Lepisosteus oculatus: one gene and its partner. The protein of the gene in region 1 interacts with the protein of each later gene in a biochemical or structural test. Links are inferred from orthologs where the notes say so. Each region holds a gene or a part of one and is shown in the gene's direction. Other genes may lie near its edges.

Region 1 (5,732 bases):
GGCGCCCAAGAAGAAGAGCGCCGCCAAGCCCAAGAAAGCGGGCCCCAGCGTGGGAGAGCTCATCCTGCAGGCCGTGTCCGCCTCCAAGGAGCGGAGCGGCGTGTCCCTGGCCGCCCTGAAGAAGTCCCTGGCGGCCGGCGGCTACGACGTGGAGAAGAACAACTCCCGCGTCAAGCTGGCCATCAAGAGCCTGGTGACCAAGGGCACCCTGGTGCAGACCAAGGGCACCGGCGCCTCGGGCTCCTTCAAGCTCAACAAGAAGCAGGCGGAGACCAAGCCCAAGCCCGTGAAGAAAGCCGCCGCCGCCGCCAAAGCCAAGAAGCCGGCGGCCAAGAAACCCGCAGCGGCTAAGAAGCCAGCGGCCGCCAAGAAGTCGCCCAAGAAGGCGGCGACCAAGAAGCCAGCGGCCGCCAAGAAGTCGCCCAAGAAAGCCGCGAAGCCCGCAGCGGCCAAGAAGGCGACCAAGAGCCCCAAGAAGGCCAAGAAGCCAGCGGCGCCTAAGAAGGCAAAGAGCCCGAAGAAAGCCAAGGCAGCGAAGCCCAAGGTGGCCAAACCCAAGACGGCCAAAGCTAAGAAAGCGGCTCCCAAGAAGAAGTGAGCGATCGACCCTCGAGTTAATTTCCTACAAACCCAAAGGCTCTTCTAAGAGCCACCAGCCCTTCCGAGAGAGAGCGCAGACTTTCCCTTTTCACCGCTTGAAAGCGCCGGTTCGCTCTATAGGGGGGGAGACATAATTATTTTACACAAGGAGAGGGACTGGGTTGTAGTTTTTCAAAATGATACTGAAATGCGATGCTGGGTAAAATGTACAAATGTAAATATTCTAAATACTATTGTAGAGAGTGGGTGCGCAGAGGAGGTGTAGAATTAAAAGGCTTTTTTGTTAAACGTTCTGATCTCCATTGAACAGCGTTGTGACTCCTTGCATCTCTTCATTTAATGAATTTAGTTGAGGTGAAATGTTACACTGTTACATGGCACGGAGGTTTTCATTAGTGTGTGACTGCTAGTCTCGCAGCTATAGCGGGCATGTGAAAAGACGTAACGTGACAGATGTATCACTCTAATAGCGACAATGGTGACTTTTCAATATCGAGCCCTCGGAGGCGGGTGATCCAGATTCTTATGGGAGTGGAGCTTAATTCCACTCAAGGTAGCGTGGTTACTGAGTCAGACGGTGGTGAAATTCACTAAAATATACATTTTGTAAAGCATAAAAAATGACCGTTTAAGCGAAGTGTTTTGCACATGAACTGTTGTAGTTTTGCTATTCGCCTGTTGTTCTGCACATGGCCTGTTGTCTCTGTTTCTTATGCAACTTTATTGTTGTTTTTTTACCACTTAACGTCTGAGAGCTAGCTAAATAGCATTTCACAATTACATATACCTGTGTATGAGAATAACGATAATAAGCTTGAAATTGAAAAACACATATTTGTCCTCGCTCGGCAGCAGAGCCGCGCTCTGTGTTCAGAGTCCGAATTTCCCTCCTGCCTGTTGATTGGTGGAGACCGAGAGCGCTGATTGGCAACACTGATCTCTGATTGGGTGGAGAGCTTGTTCCGGTCCATCCAATCAAATTCAGCCGCGAGTCTTCAAAAGCGGGGTGGCAGACAGTTTGTGACCAGTATTGTCAGACTTCTTCGGACAAGCTAGATAGTACTAGATGAGCGGCAGAGGAAAGACCGGCGGTAAGGCCAGAGCCAAGGCCAAGACTCGCTCTTCCAGGGCCGGATTGCAGTTCCCTGTGGGCCGTGTCCACCGGCTGCTGCGCAAGGGAAACTATGCCGAGCGGGTCGGCGCCGGAGCCCCGGTGTATCTGGCCGCGGTGCTGGAGTACCTGACCGCCGAGATCCTGGAGCTGGCTGGCAACGCCGCCCGGGACAACAAGAAGACCCGCATCATCCCCCGGCACCTGCAGCTGGCCGTCCGCAACGACGAGGAGCTGAACAAGCTGCTGGGCGGCGTGACCATCGCGCAGGGCGGCGTGCTGCCCAACATCCAGGCGGTGCTGCTGCCCAAGAAGACCGAGAAGCCGGCCAAGAGCAAGTAAACAGCGCGGCAGAGACCTCCGACTGACCCCGAACACAAAGGCTCTTTTAAGAGCCACCCACAGCCTCTTGAAAAGAGCGAGTTTTGTTTACTTGTGTAACTTCAGCGTTTACACGGTTTTACTAACATATTTCAGTGGTGAAGCAACGTGATCCAGAATCTGCTGTATGGAAGAGCGGTTTGTTGCGCTCGCAATACAGTTCATAACATTTCTATATTCGCTTCGTTTTTAACCTTTTAATTACAAACCAAAGAGGTATTCCTTATTGTACTTGTAATTGGATTAATAAAATTCGTATTATTATTATATTAGTCTTTCAAGTGGTCTTGTCCCTCAGCACAACGCTCTCCTCCCGAGTCACACTTTTTACACTAGAAATTATATTAGTTAACGTTATTATAGTAGTATTATACTATGTCACTATTCTTGTCCTATAGTATAGCTAAAACAGTCATCAAAATCCTTGCCACTTTATAGGTATCAAGGTATTAAAACGCCTGAACTTGCTTTTAGTTTATAAATGAAGGAAAATCGATCTTTCTGTGTCTCTTATTAAACCGAGAGACCTGGAGCCGTTAAACCCGCGAGGAGTGTAGGAGCTGCGCGCTCGGTTTCAAACCGTCCAATCAGAGTTACACCCTCCTCCCCCCTGTGCCTTTCAACCAATCAGGACGGGGCTGTCTGCGCATATAAACCCGAGTGCGGGAAGTGGTTCTCAGTACACTGTTGACTGTGAAGAGCAGCGAGGAAGATGGCGAGAACCAAGCAGACCGCTCGCAAGTCCACCGGCGGCAAGGCGCCCAGGAAGCAGCTGGCCACCAAGGCTGCCCGAAAGAGCGCCCCCGCCACCGGCGGCGTGAAGAAGCCCCACCGCTACAGGCCCGGCACCGTGGCTCTGCGGGAGATCCGCCGCTACCAGAAGTCCACCGAGCTGCTGATCCGCAAGCTGCCCTTCCAGCGCCTGGTGAGAGAGATCGCCCAGGACTTCAAGACCGACCTGCGCTTCCAGAGCTCCGCCGTCATGGCTCTGCAGGAGGCCAGCGAGGCTTACCTGGTGGGGCTCTTCGAGGACACCAACCTGTGCGCCATCCACGCCAAGAGGGTGACCATCATGCCCAAAGACATCCAGCTGGCCCGCCGCATCCGCGGGGAGCGCGCTTAGACACGGACCGCCTGCTGCAGCATCTTTTCCCTTGAACACAAAGGCTCTTTTAAGAGCCGCCACAATACTCGAGAGGGTTATATTATTCCATTATAGTCTGTACGAGGCACAATTCTCGTTTGGTTAGCTGATAAGTGAAATCCCTACCGGGAAGCGGTTTTCTACCAACTCGTGTAAAAGCCCCCCTGCACTGCTGCAGTACACCAGCGACACACGTCTCCCCTTTTGCTCTAAATTCGTTTTTCAGCATTCATATCCACATTTGAAAGTGTTCAAATGCAATTAATGCCCCCCCCTAGAGAAGATTCTTCTTTCCGGCATTCAAGCACCTCGGTTTAGAAGGTGCTTAAACACGAATTACGGATTTATTCCTACAGTGATTAAAGTCTTAGTACAGTTCATAATCCATACACCGTAGTATGTTGTATTTTCTGTTCCGTATGGGGCGTTTTGGTTCAGAAAAGAGCACCTCACATGTGCAATGGATTCTGAATTTGATATCGTTCTTCCTAGATACGTGGGTTCGGTATTGACACATTTCTTAATGCTGTCGGTATGGTATGGGTTTAGGTTTCTTTTGCTCTACAGTTTTATCCTGTAAGTCAAAAACGTGCTGCAGCACCGATTATCCTGTATTGCTAGCGCTCGATAAGACTGGGCTTTTCTCGAGTCCAGGTTCAAGCATTCAAACCACGTGGGGAGAATTTGCACAATCCTACAATGCCGTTGGTTAGGGAAGTAATCATGACAATTTCGAAGTGTAGCCTGTTTAAAGTTGCTGTGGTGGAGAGCTCTCCGGCAGGGAAGAGGTTCCTGTGCAGTCTGGGCTGCTGCTGCAGTCGGAGAAGAGGCGGGCTCGTGTGTCAGCGCGCCTCCTGTCTCAAGCAGGTCCGCTCTCAGGCTTGAAAAGAGAAGCGCCGCGGCTGCAGCCCAGCAGTGTGTGTCGTGTCACTAACTGATAACTAGAAGATGTCTGGAAGAGGCAAAGGCGGAAAGGGACTCGGGAAAGGAGGCGCTAAGCGTCACCGCAAGGTTCTCCGCGACAACATCCAGGGAATCACCAAGCCCGCCATCCGCCGCCTGGCTCGCCGTGGGGGAGTGAAGCGGATCTCCGGGCTGATCTACGAGGAAACCCGCGGGGTGCTGAAGGTGTTCCTGGAGAACGTCATCCGCGACGCCGTCACCTACACCGAGCACGCCAAGAGGAAGACCGTCACCGCCATGGACGTGGTGTACGCGCTGAAGCGCCAGGGCCGCACCCTGTACGGCTTCGGCGGCTAAACAGGAGCGGAGCTTCACTGCCGGACTGGACCCCGACGTATCAACCCAAAGGCTCTTTTAAGAGCCACCCACATTATCAAAGTAGAGCTGAAATCTAAACTATCACTTTTGGTGTTTTTTTTTAACCAAACAAGCAAGCAACATTTTGCGATTGCTGTGATGATTCCTAAATTGAGATGCAGAGCTTATCAATCGTTACATTAGTGTAGATCAGGTTGCTAATGAAATAGGTTATTGCTGAAAGCGTTTTGATGGAGTGGTAGTTCTTATTCTCATTACTACTAATTCTAATTAGGTCATGAGTAAAGAATGAAGCTCACTTCCTTAATATTTTTATTTTTCACGCATGCTTCATGGCTTTTAAGAAAGAGCCGTTATCCCATCGGGCCGTTTCTAACCCTCCCCGCCCCGACAGGAAGCGGCTCAGCTTGGCTTGAAATCCACTTCATTCGCCAAAAGCTAGTCTCCTACATGCTATTTTGTAGAAAGGTTCAGTGTTTAGTTTTATTGTGCTCAGACTAATTTGAAACCAATGCTGAAGCTCAAAAGTGTGTGATAAAATGCTGTTGGTTGTTCCAAAGTGCTTTTAAAGTTGTCTAGAATATCACAAAAACTGTGCTTTTGACTCCAAGTTTGCACAAATCGCACGGTTTACGCCGAGCACAGTTTTCTAGGGTAGGAGACATAAGCGTAATGAGAGTCGGATTTCAGAAAATGTGCACGTAGTAGTAAATTGCTATTACAGAATGGGGTTCAACTTCTAAATGTTTTTTATTCTTCATGCTGGGTTTGTCTTTTTAAGAAAGAACTTGTGATATCGGGCCGTTTCTAACCCTCCCCGCCCCGACAGGAAGCTGCTCAGCTCTTTGTTCGCTCAGACTCGGCGAGAGGTCGAGACAAAGACGCCCGAAGCGCTTGAAAGCCATTTGCTTGAGAGCCTTTCTGCTTACGTTCATTTTGTAGAAAGGTTTAGTGTGATGTTTTCTTGTGCTCAGACTAATTTGCTCAAAAGTGTTGCGATAGGATGCTGTGAGTTCAGAACTGATTTTAAAACTGCCTAGAATATCACCAAGAGTCCTTTTGACTCCAAGTTTGCACAACTCGCACATTTTACGCCGAGCACATTTTTTCTAGGGTAGGGGACATAGGCGTTATGAGAGCGGGATTTCAATAAATCTGCACGTAATGTTAAACGGATCACACGGTCCTCTGTTCCTTTGAGCGCGGGCGGAGGGG
Region 2 (7,475 bases), on another chromosome or scaffold:
GAGCTGGGAGCATCCCACCTGCCCCCTTCTCCTTCAGGGGAGGATGTTAAAACGGGGGGGCTATCAAGAACTGCAGAAGTCCAACTAAGGGCAGGTTTTGCCAATACCTGAAGCACCCACTCAGGAGATAAGATCCAGAGGCAACTAGCACTGTCCAGGGCACCCCAGGGAATATTTAACTGCCCCCTTAGTGGGCGATGTTTGTTGGTGTATCCAGGTGTGCAAACCCAAGGTTTAACTTGCAGCTTTCCTATTTACTTCTCTACTTCAAGATTTTTTTTTTAATTGTTAAAGCAAAGGACAGCTCTCTGAAATGGAGAAGAGCACTAAATATCTAGCTTTTGTGTTGGGAATTAAATGAATTAAATCAAATCTAAAAAAAAATAAAGACATGAAAATGTTTTTTCTGGAGTCATTTGGAGTGTTTTTTTGTGTAACCTTGATCTTCAGGAGCTTTTAAATCATCAGCCCATACTACGGCAGGGGCTGTGTTCAGTTCACACAACTGACTAGACAGCCCTGCTGCAGACACACTGACTGACCCCCCAGGACCAGGACTGGGGCAGAGGCAACTGGTCACATGACCCAAGCTCCACCCCACAGTATCAGTCACACGGCCTCAGAACACACAGCTATGGGGGGGGGGGGGGGGGCGATATGCAAATCCATTTAAGCAAAAGAAAAGTGGTACAGCACTATCTTTGTTTCCTATTTAGCTCACACAATGTATATATTGGACAGCAGGTTAAACCCCACTGGTGTAGAAAGAGGTTCACCTGGCTCCAGGGCAGTGGAAGTGCAGCAGACTAGTTGCACTCTCAGTTAGATTTCACCCACGATCACAGCATTCCTGCATCACAGAACGCACTTTTACATCTCCCATTGTTCCTACTTTGCCCTCTCCCTCAATCCTGGTCCTGGTGACCCCCACACCTGCTCGGTTCCATTCCACCCCCCCAAATTAGACAATCAAAGCCCGTCTTCTTTGGAATATTTGCATTGTGGTTGTAGTCACAAGTTTGGGGTTTAATTTCACGTTAAACAAACACGCCGGTTAGAGCTTGACCGCATTGATGAGCCGCGAACAAACAGTTCAGGATACGGCAACAAAGCCTCTGACTGGGTCTGGAAGAAGAACGGGCAGGTGTGTGGGTCACCAGAACCAGCACCGGGAACCACTGCTCCACCCATCCAAAAAAAAAAAAACAGACAACAGGAAGCCTCCTTACATTGAACACAGAGGTTTATTTATAATTTACAAACGGACCGTGAACGTGTTTTTTTTAAAAAAAAAACTCAGACTATTTCATGCCAGCTCATGGGGAGACGCAGTCGAGAGAGAGAGTGCACCCCACACAACAGCTGGGGCCAGGCCCGGGGCCAGTGCCCGCGTGCAGAGGGGAGGAGAGGAGGAGGAGGGAGGGGCTGTACGCCAGCGACCTGTAGCGTAGCCACTGCCCAGTCCACTGTCCTTCACCCTAGTGTCCGTACCTGCAAGGGCAAGGAAAGCACAAATCAATCATTACACCAGGTAACAGCACCACCCACCCACCCACCCGCCCGCCCTGCCAGAGGGAACAGGATATTGCACACCAGACGATCCCGATTCCAGCACACAGGTGCACACACGCTACACACCTCTCGTCCTGGCAGACACGGACTGCACACCTGCTCTACAAACTGCGCGCCCCGCAAGCGTACAGCTCGCCTTTACCAGAACGCGATTCGCGAGACGCGAATGAATATTAATCAGCTCTTGGTTCGATCGCAGTGCCGCAGGAGAGCGTGCTACCTCGAATAATCAATAACCGTTAGACCGAGCTCGGTCCCGTCTCTGGGAGCACTGTGACTGGACAAACAGCTCATCAACATTCCACAATTCATCCCGAGTGTTGCTCTTCACGCCCAGGCTAGCCAGGAAGGGCGTTCATTCACAAAACAGACCTCCTCTATATATACACACCCCCCCCCCCCAGCCTAAAAACTCCATCCTGGTGCCAAAGCATATTTTAAACTATTTTAGTATGAGCAGGAAGGAGAGAGCCCTGTTCTGTTCTTTGTGTGTTCTGGACTGTGAGTAACTCTTCTTGGTGCCCTTCTCACTGTACTGATTGTACTGTATTATTATTATTGTATCATTCGTTACACTGTTTCTGTGTTAAGCTGCTGTTGCACTGCAGTTTCCCTCACGGGATCAATAAAGTATCTGTCTATCCAGGCAGGGATGCCCGGCAGGGGATCCTGTCTATCCTGGCAGGACACTCCAGGGGAGCTACTCACTTCTGGAACTCCCACTCCCGGTTGTCCAGGGGGCAGACCTGTCGCGTCTTCAGCCAGCGCGAGATGCAGTGGAAGTGGAAGGCGTGCTGCGGGAGAGCAAGGGGAGAGGAGGGGCGGTCAGCTTGGGGGTCTTTCCGAGAGGTCGGTCGAGCAGGGGGGGGGGGAGGGGGGCTCAGGTTCCAGATACCGGGGGCAGCTCTGGCTCCTGTTTCCACTCATCTCCACACCCCCCTTTCCAGACAGGGGGGTTCAGACAAGCGGCACGGATTACAGGAGGGGGGCGGGGCGTTTGCGGGTTCGCCCCCACGCCCGTAGGGGAACCCCCCTCGCGGCTACTCTGTTCGTTCACACGGCGCCAGTGCCACCCGTGTGCCCCTCTGAGGGGCTAGACAGGGCGAAAACCGGCTGTCTGGGAGAGCCCAGCGTGGCGGTGGCGTCTGTGCGGATGAGGCCCAGAGGAGGTCGAGGGAGGGAGGGAGGGAGAGCGCTCAGTCTTACATTGCAGACGCCCCAGGCCACAGTGCACTCCTCAGACGTAGCAGAAGCCTGGTTGGCCTGACATTCAATACCTGCAGAGAGAGAGAGAGAGAAAAACACAGCAGCGTGTTACCCTGTGAGCTTCAGAGGCACCTTAGGACTGGCACCTGAGTAAGACACCAGCGTCTGGATCTCATGTCTGTACACTCATACTGTGTCAGTGCATCAGTACAGTATAATTCATGTCTGTACACTCATACTGTGTCAGTGCATCAGTACAGTATAATTCATGTCTGTACACTCATACTGTGACAGTGCATTCACACAGCTCTGGGCTGTCAGTGTATTGGAGTCAGTATAATTAGTCTCAACACTCTAACCATGCCTGTACAGTCACACAGCTCTGCGCTGTCAGTGCATCAGTGTCAGAACAGTATAATTCATGTCTGTGCACTCTTACTGTGTCCTTGCATTCACACAGCTCTGCGCTGTCAGTGTTTTGCAGTCAGTACAGTAGAACTCCCATTTACTCACACAGGTCCATGATGTGGTTCCTGCAGATGGCACAGTTGTCCACCACGATATCCCAGGCCCACAGCGCTACTGCATTCCACTAGCAGCGGGGGGAAAGACAGAACACTTCACTTACTGACAGTGCATGCACCAACCTGGCTGACCCTGACCGGCCACCCGCTCGAGATGTGTCCACCCGCTCGTGTTCTCTGCCTGCATGTTGTTATTGCGACATTCGTGAGTCTCGCCCGGCCTCACATCGGGAGGGCCGAGTAATCCGGCAGAGCGGCGCTACTGGGCGCTGTTGTTGTTGTTGTTGTTGTTATTATTCATTAATTAATTATTATTTATTAAAAGGGGCATCTGGTGCTGTAAACCGTGTCCGAGGTGCTGAAAAGTGTATTGCTTTTTTCCCTCCCGACCAGCTTTGTCGGCGCTTGAGAAAAGAAACAGCTTCGTCATTCAAAAAAAGCGAGGAGAACTGAACCGGCTGAAACACGAATACACACTTGTTATTCTCAAAAAGCAGGCGCCCGACAAAAATAGTTTAAGCTGGCGCCCTCAGAAAAGCCTACGGAAATAAATCCGTAAGCCCATTAGCCATCGTTAGCTAACCACGCAAAAACACCGCAAAGCGTCCAGTATTACTCCCCAAACACCTGTATGTTACAACCGATTAACAACAGTCATCAACTTAATCTCTCTCCGTCCCTCCGTCCTTAATTTTTCCTCCTCGAATTACTCAAAGTACCTTTTTCACTTCGAAACGCTTCTTGCTGGCTCCGCTGTTGGTCCCGCTCGGGGCGTCCACATCCATCGCTGCCGCCATCTTGTCTCTGGGAACCCTGGCTCTTGAGCGCCTGCGCTGGCCGTCGCTTCCGGCGGCGAGCTGTGACATCACGGTCCCCATAACAACAGGGCCTGCGGTTCCACACGAAGCCTGACTTTGTACCTGCAGCCTGCCGGCCCGCCGCAGAAGGACGCGTTTGCGATGGTCCAGTGTTTTGCCCCCGACTGCAACCATCACAGCGAAAGAGAAACCTGCAAATTCTTCCGTTTCCCCAAGGATCTGAGGCAGTTCCGAGTTTGGCAAGAGCGATGCAGGTTGGCACGCCGTTTTGCGGGATAAACAGTTAAAAAGTGACATATGGCAGGTGTCTTCGTTTCACCAGTATGCCTCTGAAAAACCTGCAGCCTGTTTTGCGTCAGAGTATCGAGCTATTGAGTGACAGACCAAACCCCTGCCTGTTTTGACAGAAGGCTTTAGGTTGTCTGGTTGTAGTTTCTGTGAGCTTCTCTAAACGTGAAATGTGTCGTTCAGGAACAATAGGATGGCGATTCTTTGCCTTACAAGTCCTGTTCCTGTCCTGTCCCCCCACAAACACACAGAGAGGCCCTCTAGAGGCACCTGAACTGAGGGTCAGGCCAACCAGCCGGTCTTTTCTTCCAGGCGGCAGGACAAAGACCCGAGCGTCTTCTCCAGGCTCTGCAGCTGCCACTTCGCGGAGGGGAAGAAGGACAGGGGCCCGTCCATCTTCAAGACCCGGGCCACCGGCCCGCGGGCCTGGACGCCGCAGAAGAAGAGGAGGAACCGGTAAGCATCCTGCGAGAGGCAGGAGGGGGTGGCGTTCTCCCAGGGAGCCAGGCAGGACCATGGGGCACCGGATCTGGCCAGGACACTGGGGTTACACTCCTGCTCTTGTCGAGAGACGCCCTGGGATTTTTAATGACCACAGAGAGTCAGGACCTCAGTTTTATGTCTCATCCAAAGGACGGTGCCTTTTTACAGTATAGTGTCCCCGTCACTATACTGGGGCATCAGGACCCACACAGACCGCAGGGTGAGCGCCCCCTGCTGGCCCCACTCACACCTCTCCCAGCAGCAGCCTCAATTGACCCCAGGAGTCTCCCCTCCAGGTACTGGCCAGGCTCACCCTGCTGGGCTCCAGTGGGGCTGCCGGCTGGGAGCTGCAGGGTGGTGGAGCTGCTGGCCGTATCACTAGTGGGATAAAAGTGAAGAGGATTCCATTCTCCCGCCTGCAGGGCCCCCGGTGCTGAGCCTGCAGGGCCTGTGGTGCCGCTGGACGCGCCCAAGCAGCCCGAGCCTCTGCTGTTCCAGCCGGCGTCCCCTCTTGGCCCGGAAGGCGGCGCTCCGGGTCCCACTGGCGAAGAGGGTGGCGGGGAAGAGGAGCCCGGAGTCCCAGGAGGGGTCCTGCATCTGTCCCCTCCCTCCCGAGGTGAGGTCAGGGCCCGGGGAGATCGGGGGCGACATGAGGACAGTCACAGAGGAGAAGAGGCCGTAACTGATGGCTCTACTTTTTCAGTAACTAACAGATCTGTCTGCCATAAATAACCGGACACCTCTTGGCAAAAGCCAGGGTATCAAAACCATGGCAGGGAAGCTTGTTCCCCACTCCCGCCCTTTGCGTAAAGTAGCCCCCCCGTCCCGATTAGAGGATCGAATCCAACCGTTTTGGGGAATTAACTGTGCTTCACACCTTAACTTTTACCATAAATTGTCCACAATTTTAAACTTAAGGCCTGTGTTTTTGCTTTTATTGCAACAGTTTGATTGGAATTTGCTACAGTAATGTAAGCTTGAGCATTGAGCCTTCTCGTTATTAATTTTTTTACAGCGTGTAAGAACATGTGGGCTGTGTTCCTGCTAGTGACTTGCCGGTTCTGGTGAATCACAGATGCCGACTGTTTATTGCTCAGTTTATTCATCCATTCGGGACGTGTTAGACTGGGCCTGAACCCAGGGTGTCGGTCAGCACACGGGATGCGATGGAAGCCGCTGTGCCTTGTGTTCTCCGCAGCTCCAGCGCCGCCCAGCTGGCTGCCGGCTGCAGCAGACGGCTCCGCGTCGCAGGCGAGTGTGGAGAGGCATGTGGGCTCCCCTCAGGACCCCATCGCAGAGCTGCAGGTAGGTGATACTGCTGCTGTTACTGTCACTGATACTACTGTTACTGCTACTAATACTTCCACTGACACTGCCCCTGCTGTCACTAATACTACCACTGATACTACTGTTACTGCTACTAATACTACCACTGACACTGCCCCTGCTGGCACTGATACTACCACTGACACTGCCCCTGCTGTCACTGATACTACTGTTACTGCTACTAATACTACCACTGACACTGCCCCTGCTGGCACTGATACTACCACTGATACTACTGTTACTGCTACTAATACTACCACTGACACTGCCCCTGCTGGCACTGATACTACCACTGATACTACTGTTACTGCTACTAATACTACCACTGACACTGCCCCTGCTGGCACTGATACTACCACTGATACTACTGTTACTGCTACTAATACTACCACTGACACTGCCCCTGCTGGCACTGATACTACCACTGATACTACTGTTACTGCTACTAATACTACCACTGACACTGCCCCTGCTGTCACTGATACTACCACTGATACTACTGTTACTGCTACTAATACTACCACTGACACTGCCCCTGCTGTCACTGATACTACCACTGATACTACTGTTACTGCTACTAATACTACCACTGACACTGCCCCTGCTGTCACTGATACTACCACTGATACTACTGTTACTGCTACTAATACTACCACTGACACTGCCCCTGCTGTCACTGATACTACCACTGATACTACTGTTACTGCTACTAATACTACCACTGACACTGCCCCTGCTGGCACTGATACTACCACTGATACTACTGTTACTGCTACTAATACTACCACTGACACTGCCCCTGCTGTCACTGATACTACCACTGATACTACTGTTACTGCTACTAATACTACCACTGACACTGCCCCTGCTGTCACTGATACTACCACTGATACTACTGTTAATGTTACTTATACTACCACTGACACGACTACTATTACCACTATTATTTTTTTCTTGAAAAAAAAAGTCATGGCCTCCTGATAACCCCCCTCTCTGAACTGGCTCCATCACTCTGCTCTCCTCCCCACTGAGAGCTGGTGTGTGGGGAGCGGACTGGAGCATCATCCAGGTGGGGTACACACTGGTGGGGGTGGAGGGGATCCCCAGTACCTGTACAGCGCTGTGAGTGGAGTGTCCAGAAAAGCGCTATATAAGAGTAATCAATTATTATTAGTATTAGTATTAGCAGTAGTATTATTATTAGCTGTCTCTACTAGTAACACAACTCAAGCTGCTGCCTTTGCAGATTAGTGTGCAA

Evidence for each region. The genes of interacting proteins can lie anywhere in the genome.
Region 2: the proteins of histone H4 (region 1) and l3mbtl2 interact in a test that uses a peptide from one of them, tested with the Homo sapiens proteins (2 studies listed by BioGRID). The link is inferred for Lepisosteus oculatus from reciprocal best matches to the Homo sapiens genes H4C1 and L3MBTL2.

The regions. Positions count from the first base shown.
Region 1 is NC_090718.1:2,209,000-2,214,731, forward strand, and holds histone H4, read left to right. Parts: upstream 1-4,118; 5' UTR 4,119-4,184; coding exon 4,185-4,496; 3' UTR 4,497-4,886; downstream 4,887-5,732. Other genes in the region: histone H1-like, read left to right, coding at 1-598; uncharacterized protein, read left to right, coding at 1,667-2,049; histone H3, read left to right, coding at 2,805-3,215. UniProt on the Homo sapiens protein: Core component of nucleosome. Nucleosomes wrap and compact DNA into chromatin, limiting DNA accessibility to the cellular machineries which require DNA as a template.
Region 2 is NC_090707.1:38,080,261-38,087,735, forward strand, and holds the start of l3mbtl2 (lethal(3)malignant brain tumor-like protein 2), read left to right. Parts: upstream 1-4,164; 5' UTR 4,165-4,261; coding exon 4,262-4,374; intron 4,375-4,720; coding exon 4,721-4,864; intron 4,865-5,313; coding exon 5,314-5,507; intron 5,508-6,089; coding exon 6,090-6,196; intron 6,197-7,475. Other genes in the region: E3 ubiquitin-protein ligase RBX1, read right to left, coding at 1,479-1,491, 2,281-2,366, 2,779-2,849, 3,292-3,370, 4,022-4,099. UniProt on the Homo sapiens protein: Putative Polycomb group (PcG) protein. PcG proteins maintain the transcriptionally repressive state of genes, probably via a modification of chromatin, rendering it heritably changed in its expressibility.